2 linked regions of the Arabidopsis thaliana genome follow. Each later gene encodes a partner of the first gene's protein in a complex. Each region holds a gene or a part of one and is shown in the gene's direction. Other genes may lie near its edges.

Region 1 (3,916 bases):
CCTTAGACAATCCATAATACGTTACGTGAGTCGAAGTTGCACCAAAATGGTCCAAATATAATTTAAATTTGGCCACAAAACAACATTTTACAAACAAATTCAACAAACATGCATCGTTTCAAATTTTATTTATTCAATGGCGTTATTTGTTCATTGTAAATATTCTGTTTAACTCACTGACGAATTTTTTAATTTTTCAAAGAAGAACATTTTTGATATAAATAACATTTTATGGAACCACCGGTTAAGCTCGATGATTTTGAGTTTTAGTTTTGTCGTTTTGTGAAATCATTAACGACCTACATTTGATCCCTCATTACTTTAATAATTAGGAATCAAACATGATGATTAAGTTCACCAAAGACGTCTCTTATGGCTATTAAGAGTCAGACGCAAGGATGACCGGGGTCATTAAGACGTCTTATATTCAACCATTACTCCACTAATTGCTAATTAATCAGATTAATTTGTTTAATACGATAATGTATTTTGATTAAGTAGCTCTCAGCCAACAGGCAAAGGATAAATTTTGGATTATTCAAAGATTTGTGGGCTTCCAAAAGCATAGGGAATGGCTCCAACTACATTGGGAAATATATTATTTAAATCTCCATTCCCATTTGCCACAGTCGTTGGAGTTTATTTTTTTTTTCCAAGTGGAAGAATCAATTATAATTGTCGGAATTTCTAAATCCTACTTGTTGGAAAACAAACCCAAGCAAAATTAGTTTAGAAATGTACGGAAATCTACTATAGAATTATACTAAACATATCAATATAGCTTTGACTTTAAAATTAAAACAATTATTGTGGGCAATTAGTTAGATATTTTACCAGGGAAATAAGCAGCACTGTTCATGCACTCTCTTCTTAATTACTATACTTTGAAAGAACTTATATGTCACTGTATTGCCAGTTGCCACTAATATATAAACAACATTTCACTTGTTGACATCGCTGTAAATGAAGTTTGGAACGACCCTCTTAACAACTAATAGGGTTAATTAACCACTAAATTTTTCCAAGTTGTCATTTTGTCTTAATGTGAGACGTAATATCTAATACGTCGGTCTAACCTAAGAGTTGGTTCCGATCACAAATTTTTGAGAAGTACCTTTCAATAAAAAATTTGTTGTTATAATTTCACCGTGTTAAGTAAAAACTTAATTAGGAGCTATTTTCTATTTGATGTGAATTTGAAAATGTCTTCATAAAAATAGTATGGAAAAGGGAATGTAATTAATATAGACCACAGATACAAAAAGATGTCCCGTGCTTAACACGTCTGAGTCATTGTCGTACCCTTTTGCCAACTTTTTCAAGTTTCTTTCGTGAAAATGACTACACTTTTTAAAATAAATTGACAGATGATTGTTGCATGCATATAATATTCGCAAAATGCCAAATTCTACCCTTAACCAAATAATGTGGTAATGGATATAAAATAGTTAACATAAACAAAAATTTGGAAATTTTGAAAAATAGAGAGTAAATTGATTTTTTTTAAAAAGTTTGAATTGAAGTGAAAAAATATATAAATAAAAATAATAAACCTGTAGTTTGATATATATAGTTAGATAGCTCAAGTTTGAGTAACTTGAAGTCTTGAATTACTTTATATGTTTTTCTCACAGATTATATTATTTTCGTTCTATCCCAAGAATTGGGATAATATTCTCTATATTCGAGGCCTCTCTCTTAAGAAGTCGGTGTATAATCTTAAGCCCTTACTTGACACAAGGCCTCTATTAAAAAGCCCAATAATAATTTTTCTTTTCAAAGCCCAACACGTCAAGAGGAGAAAGAAGTGCGTTTGCGTTTGGATTGAAAACGTGGCGGGCGGTTGGAAACTGAATCTTAAACCCTTCACTCACATTCATCTTCACCGTCAAATCTCTGAAACTGAGCTTCGACGATGTTGGGTTTACGAAGATCTGCGACGACCTTGTTCGACATCAGCCAGTCTCTGCTTCGTAATGTTACGGTTAGTATCTGTCTAACACTTCAGCGCCACATTTGGGTTTTACGATTAGGGTTTCAATAGATCGAATCGATTCATCTCTCTTGGTATTAGATTTCATCAAATTCAAATCTATCGTCACCTAAAAATCTCTCTTTCGGTATGTAGTATTTCCGGGGTTGTTTCAAAGTCGTCTTATTGCTCTGTGATTTTGGCTTCTTACCCATTTTCAACAGTGCTATGTAGAAGAAAGAACAAATCTTTGAAATCGAAAGGTCTAATGTATAGTTCAATGTCTACATTATGAGATTGCCATGATATTATAGTCAAACGATTCTCCTAAAGCGTTTACTTTTGTGGAGCATTCTTTGTTAGTTCTATGCAAATAAAGTTCTAGGAATGATAATTCTTAAGGAAGCATCTCAAATGTTGGCTAGTTCTTGTCTCAGGTTAAAACAATGTTTTGCAATTTGCTTTTAGTTAGAATTGTTGACTTGCTTAGCTTTTTGACTAACTCTGTCTCTGTGAAGCAAAGTTTGATCAAACCCATTACCTTATTTGATTTCTCTCTTTAGATTATACATCAATTTATGTATTTTCTTTGTCTACAGTTTCATGGGTTACGAGTCCAAGGAATTCGTGTGGGAAACGCAGAGGTTCCAAACAATAAGCCACTCAAAACCGGTCTTCAAGAAGTTTATGGAATCGGCCGCCGTAAATCTCACCAGGTTCTCTGTCACCTTGGAATCACTAACAAACTTGCCAGAGACTTAACTGGAAAAGAACTCATTGATCTCCGTGAAGAAGTTGGCCAGCACCAGCATGGTGATGAACTGGTATAATCCTTTTATCCAATCACATTTGACTTTCTTATCATGGTCTTAAATCTATTCCATCTCTCAAACCGTTTTTGTTGTTCGATTTTAAAGAGGAGGCGTGTTGGATCGGAAATACAGAGACTGGTCGAAGTAGATTGCTACAGAGGTAGTAGACATAGACATGGATTGCCTTGCAGAGGACAAAGAACCAGTACTAACGCTCGCACCAAAAAGGGCAAAGCCGTTGCGATTGCAGGAAAGAAGAAAGCCCCTCGCAAGTAAACCTGTCTTTCTATCTATTCTCTGGGATTCATAAGTTGTAATCCATGTCTTATTGTTTACAGACATGGCTTTGTGTTATTTTTGGGATGAAACTGATCAAATAAGTAAAACATGATTTGTCCAGTCTTTTTTTGTCATTGCCATTGCCATTGCCATTGCAGAGGAAGAAGAATGCTTCAAAACTGTTCTGCAATACTCTCTCTAGCTTCTATAGTCTCTCTTTGTGTGATTTGTTATCCTAAAAACATGGATTGAAATTGAGCCCAGTTTCAATTTCTTTTTTTGGTTTTGTCAACAAGACTAATTCCAAATTTGTCTTCAGCTTATTGTGTAATTCACATTTGACCTTATATTAGTGGCCCATCGTAAGAAGCCCATGTAATTATTTTGTAGCCCATTAACAATTCGTGTTGGATTCAACAATGCTATAACGTCAACATATTACATAAGTTACATCAACAAAATAGATACCCAACTTCATTATTTTTTTTTTTTTTTTTTTGCTCTGATAAAATATACAGCAAAGATATGATACGGGTTGGGACACGAATCATGGGGAACAAAATAACGAAATCGAATTGGAATCACAAGAAATGAGACCAAGTGACTTGAAATTGATATATCAGAGAGATAAATTTGGGAAATAGACTAATCGGAAGCCCTACTAGACCCGATCACATTTATTTACCAATGATCGCATTTCCTCTCCACTCATTTGTTTGTCTAAATGATCCTCCACGTAATCTTTCATTTTCTAGCTTTTTGAACAATAACTTATGTGGGCCTTGAAAATTATATGGGCCTATTTTGAGTGACCCACAACCATGTGATTCATCTTTTTTTTTTCTATTTTTTT
Region 2 (3,786 bases), about 20 Mb from region 1:
TCTATTTCAATGGCGCTGTATCCAGCTTCTTTTCTCCCTTTATTCAACTCATTATCTAATGATTTTTCTGGGTTCCCTGCAACAGCGTGTGTCCCAGCTAGAAGAATTGCATCTGCCGGATGAGTCTCACCCATTTCAGCCAATCTCATCATCACACTTTCCCCCAAATCTGCATTCCCGTATACTCTACAAGCAGCTAGCAGAGCACGCCAAGCCGTTGAATCACTTGTGATCGGTAAGTTCCTTATTAACTCATACGCTTCCTCTAACTGCCCCGCTCGACCTAAAAGATCAACCACACAACCATAATGTTCAACTTTGGGCGTGAAGCTGTAAGCCTCAACCATCCTCTTAAAGCATCTGATTCCTTCCATTACCAACCCTCCATGGCTACAAGCATTCAGCACAACCAAGAAGGTAATCTCATTGGGTCTCACTTTGCAGTTCTCTTCCTCCATCTTATTGAATAGTGTTACTGCTTCTCTTGCTAGTCCATGAGCTCCATAACCCGAGATCATCGCGGTCCAGGACTTTACATCCTTATCCTTCATTCTATTGAAAATCTCAACAGCTTTTTCAAGCAATCCTACTTTTGCATACATATCAACGAGTGCAGTTCCAAGTATTGCATCCAAAGCTATTCTTTCCTCTTCCAATAGATCAGCAACAGTACGTCCTACGAATGCTGCTTCACTGTACGCACAGGAAGACAACAGCCCAACAAATGTAGATGAATTCGGTTTCATTTTTTCATACTTCATCTGCCTCAGTAGCCATACACACTCTTCAAGGAGACCCGTTTTGGCATATTGGTCTATCATACAGTTCCATGTAACAACATCCTTTCGAATGGCGCAATCAAAGATCCTGCGTGCTGAACTGATACCCCCAGTTTTGCCGTACATCCCTATCAAAGCTGTGATTAAATGCAAGTCTAAATCAAGGCCAATCTTGATGCATAACACATGAGCAGATTCTGCTCCAGACAAATCTCCTAGATCACTAATAGCCGAAAGAAAGCTAAGCAACGTACTGACATTAACGACCACCTCACTTTTTCTCATAATCCTAAACAAATCCAAAGCCAACGCTTTCTTAGAAACCTGAAGATACCCATTCATCAAAGTACTAAACGTAACAGCATCAACACTCTGCGGCATTTCGTCGAACACTTTCCGAGCATCACTAATCTTTCCACAAACACAGTAAAAATGTATAAGAGCATTCCTCAAATCAGTAAAAACCATAAACCCAGATCTCAAAGCAATCCCATGCAATCCCTCACCAATTGAAACACACAATTCACGAGAACATGATTTAAGAGTCGTGATAAACGAGAATCGGTCCAAGGTCAAACCTTTAGCTCTCAATTGGTTGAAAACAGAAAATGCTCGCTCCGGCTCATCGCTAATCGAGTAACCTCTGATCATAGTGTTGAACATAAAGAGATTAGTGTTGGAGACATGCTCGAAGATCGACGAAGCGTATCGAATGTCAAGTACAGAGGAAAAAGCAAGAAGCTTGCTCACTGCGAAATCGTCCTTGTCGAGTCCCGTTTTCACCATGTAACCATGAATTCGAGAAACTTCGACGGTGTCTCTGCAAGACCTTAGATCGTTGATAAGTTTCTGACATTGTGGAGACAACAACGATTCAAGATTCCTACGACGGAACACGAAATTGCGCCTGAGCCGTGACGTAATCGCCAATGTCATCAGAAAGAAAAAAAAGTCGCCGGAATAAACACGGATTTGTTTTTTAAGCTTAAAATATCAAATTGGGCTTTAGTTCCTTAATGGGCCTTATTTTGGTCCAAATCCAGTTACGTGGCAAAGAGAATTAGGGCTCTTTGTTCTTCTTATTTAAAAAAGTTACGCCTTTCTTCTTCTTCTTCTTCTTCTTCTTCTTCTTCTTCTTCATTTCTAGGATTCGAAACAACAATCAACGCGATGGGACGAAGTAAGCAGATTGCTAAATAATCTATTTCTCTGAATGTAATCGATCTTCTATGGATAGATAGATTCGTTCTCTGCATATCGTATTTGCTAGGGTCTCTGTTTTTCGATCTCATTGGAGACGAGTTTTGTCGCCGGAATCGTAAATTAGACTTGCTTAAGCTCGGAATTTACATGTGGATTAGGTTCGTTTTGTTAGGTTCAGTGTCAAAAATGGATTTTTCTAATCACTCAAGTCGCATTATTAGATTTGCTTAAGCTCGGAATTTTACATTTGGATTAGGCTTTTGTTTGAATTGCGTATCAGAAAGGATTCAACTTGTTATTGAAAATGTATAAATGTATTCAAATGTGTAGGACCTGCGAGATGTTACCGTCAAATTAAGGGAAAGCCATACCCTAAATCAAGATACTGTCGTGGTGTTCCCGATCCTAAGATCAGGATTTACGATGTTGGTATGAAGAGGAAAGGAGTTGATGAGTTCCCTTACTGTGTTCATTTGGTTTCATGGGAGAAAGAGAATGTTTCAAGTGAAGCTCTTGAAGCTGCTCGTATTGCTTGTAACAAGTACATGGTGAAGTCTGCCGGGAAAGATGCGTTTCATCTCCGTATTAGAGTTCATCCTTTCCATGTTCTTAGGATCAATAAGATGCTTTCTTGTGCTGGAGCTGATAGACTTCAGACTGGTATGAGAGGTGCTTTTGGCAAAGCTCTTGGTACTTGTGCTAGAGTTGCTATTGGACAGGTTCTTTTGTCTGTGAGGTGCAAAGATGCTCATGGTCATCATGCTCAGGAGGCTCTTCGTCGTGCTAAGTTTAAGTTCCCTGGTCGTCAAAAGATCATTGTTAGCAGGAAATGGTATGATTTGTGTTTGCTTTTTTATGTTACTTTCTTTTTGTTTTGCAAAAGGCTTCTTGTTGATGTTTGAAGTTGGAATATTATAGGGGGTTCACCAAGTTTAACCGTGCTGATTACACAAAGCTAAGGCAAGAGAAGAGGATTGTCCCTGATGGTGTAAATGCCAAGTTCCTATCTTGCCATGGTCCGTTGGCTAACCGTCAGCCCGGAAGTGCGTTCTTGTCAGCTGGTGCACAGTGATGCAGATGACTTGTCGATGTGGAGTTGATATCCTAGTTTTGGCAGATACTCAGTTTTTATTTTTTTGTTGGTAGTGACAGTTACAAACAATTCTCTTGCGGTTCTGTTGTTCATGGATAAGTTTTATGAAAGACTTGTTTTGTTATCTTTCATTTATGCAAATTTGGAAATGAGCTTAATCATTGTTGTCATTTGTGTTCTAGCACCACTTGAGCTCACACCTTGAAACCCGGCATTACCCATTGGTTCTTATAGTTTACTTCAGTGTTAACAATATCGATTATGACTACTATTACGTAAACCTGCGTACGGTCCAAGTTCAGGCCCATAAACTTAAGGACTGTTTCTGTAAGATTCAGCTATTCCCCATTGACACATGAATCTAAAGCATCGTTGCTGGTGAATCCCTAGCTTCAAGATGAGTACAGGTGCGTCACTTTGCTCTTCCATTTCTGTTTATCTATCGATTAGTCTCCTACTTATCTAAGATTATGAGGGATCTATTCTGGTTTTATTTTCTGCTATTGAATTTTTTCGATATCTTGAGAATTTATGTGTTTGTGATGCGTTTGTGTAAAATCCTCTGTTGCCTCATCAAAAACCCTATATAGAAAATTCAGTGTTCCCACAACTGTTCTTCCCTATCCATTATTTATTTAAATGTACTTCAACTTAGATTGTTAAAGAAATTCTTTGCACATAATGCAACTCCAATCATTCTCTTGCAAATAC

The links.
Region 2: AT1G77750 (region 1) and RPL10B share a complex: the UniProt entries of both Arabidopsis thaliana proteins name them as parts of the small ribosomal subunit.

What each region holds. Positions count from the first base shown.
Region 1 is NC_003070.9:29,229,490-29,233,405, reverse strand, and holds AT1G77750 (Ribosomal protein S13/S18 family), read left to right. Parts: upstream 1-1,678; 5' UTR 1,679-1,915; coding exon 1,916-1,984; intron 1,985-2,571; coding exon 2,572-2,796; intron 2,797-2,889; coding exon 2,890-3,060; 3' UTR 3,061-3,416; downstream 3,417-3,916. UniProt on the Arabidopsis thaliana protein: Located at the top of the head of the small subunit, it contacts several helices of the 18S rRNA.
Region 2 is NC_003070.9:9,319,760-9,323,545, forward strand, and holds RPL10B (Ribosomal protein L16p/L10e family protein), read left to right. Parts: upstream 1-1,890; 5' UTR 1,891-1,949; coding exon 1,950-1,959; intron 1,960-2,205; exon of another isoform or gene 2,206-2,312; coding exon 2,313-2,814; intron 2,815-2,900; coding exon 2,901-3,054; 3' UTR 3,055-3,269; downstream 3,270-3,786. Other genes in the region: AT1G26900 (Pentatricopeptide repeat (PPR) superfamily protein), read right to left, coding at 1-1,715.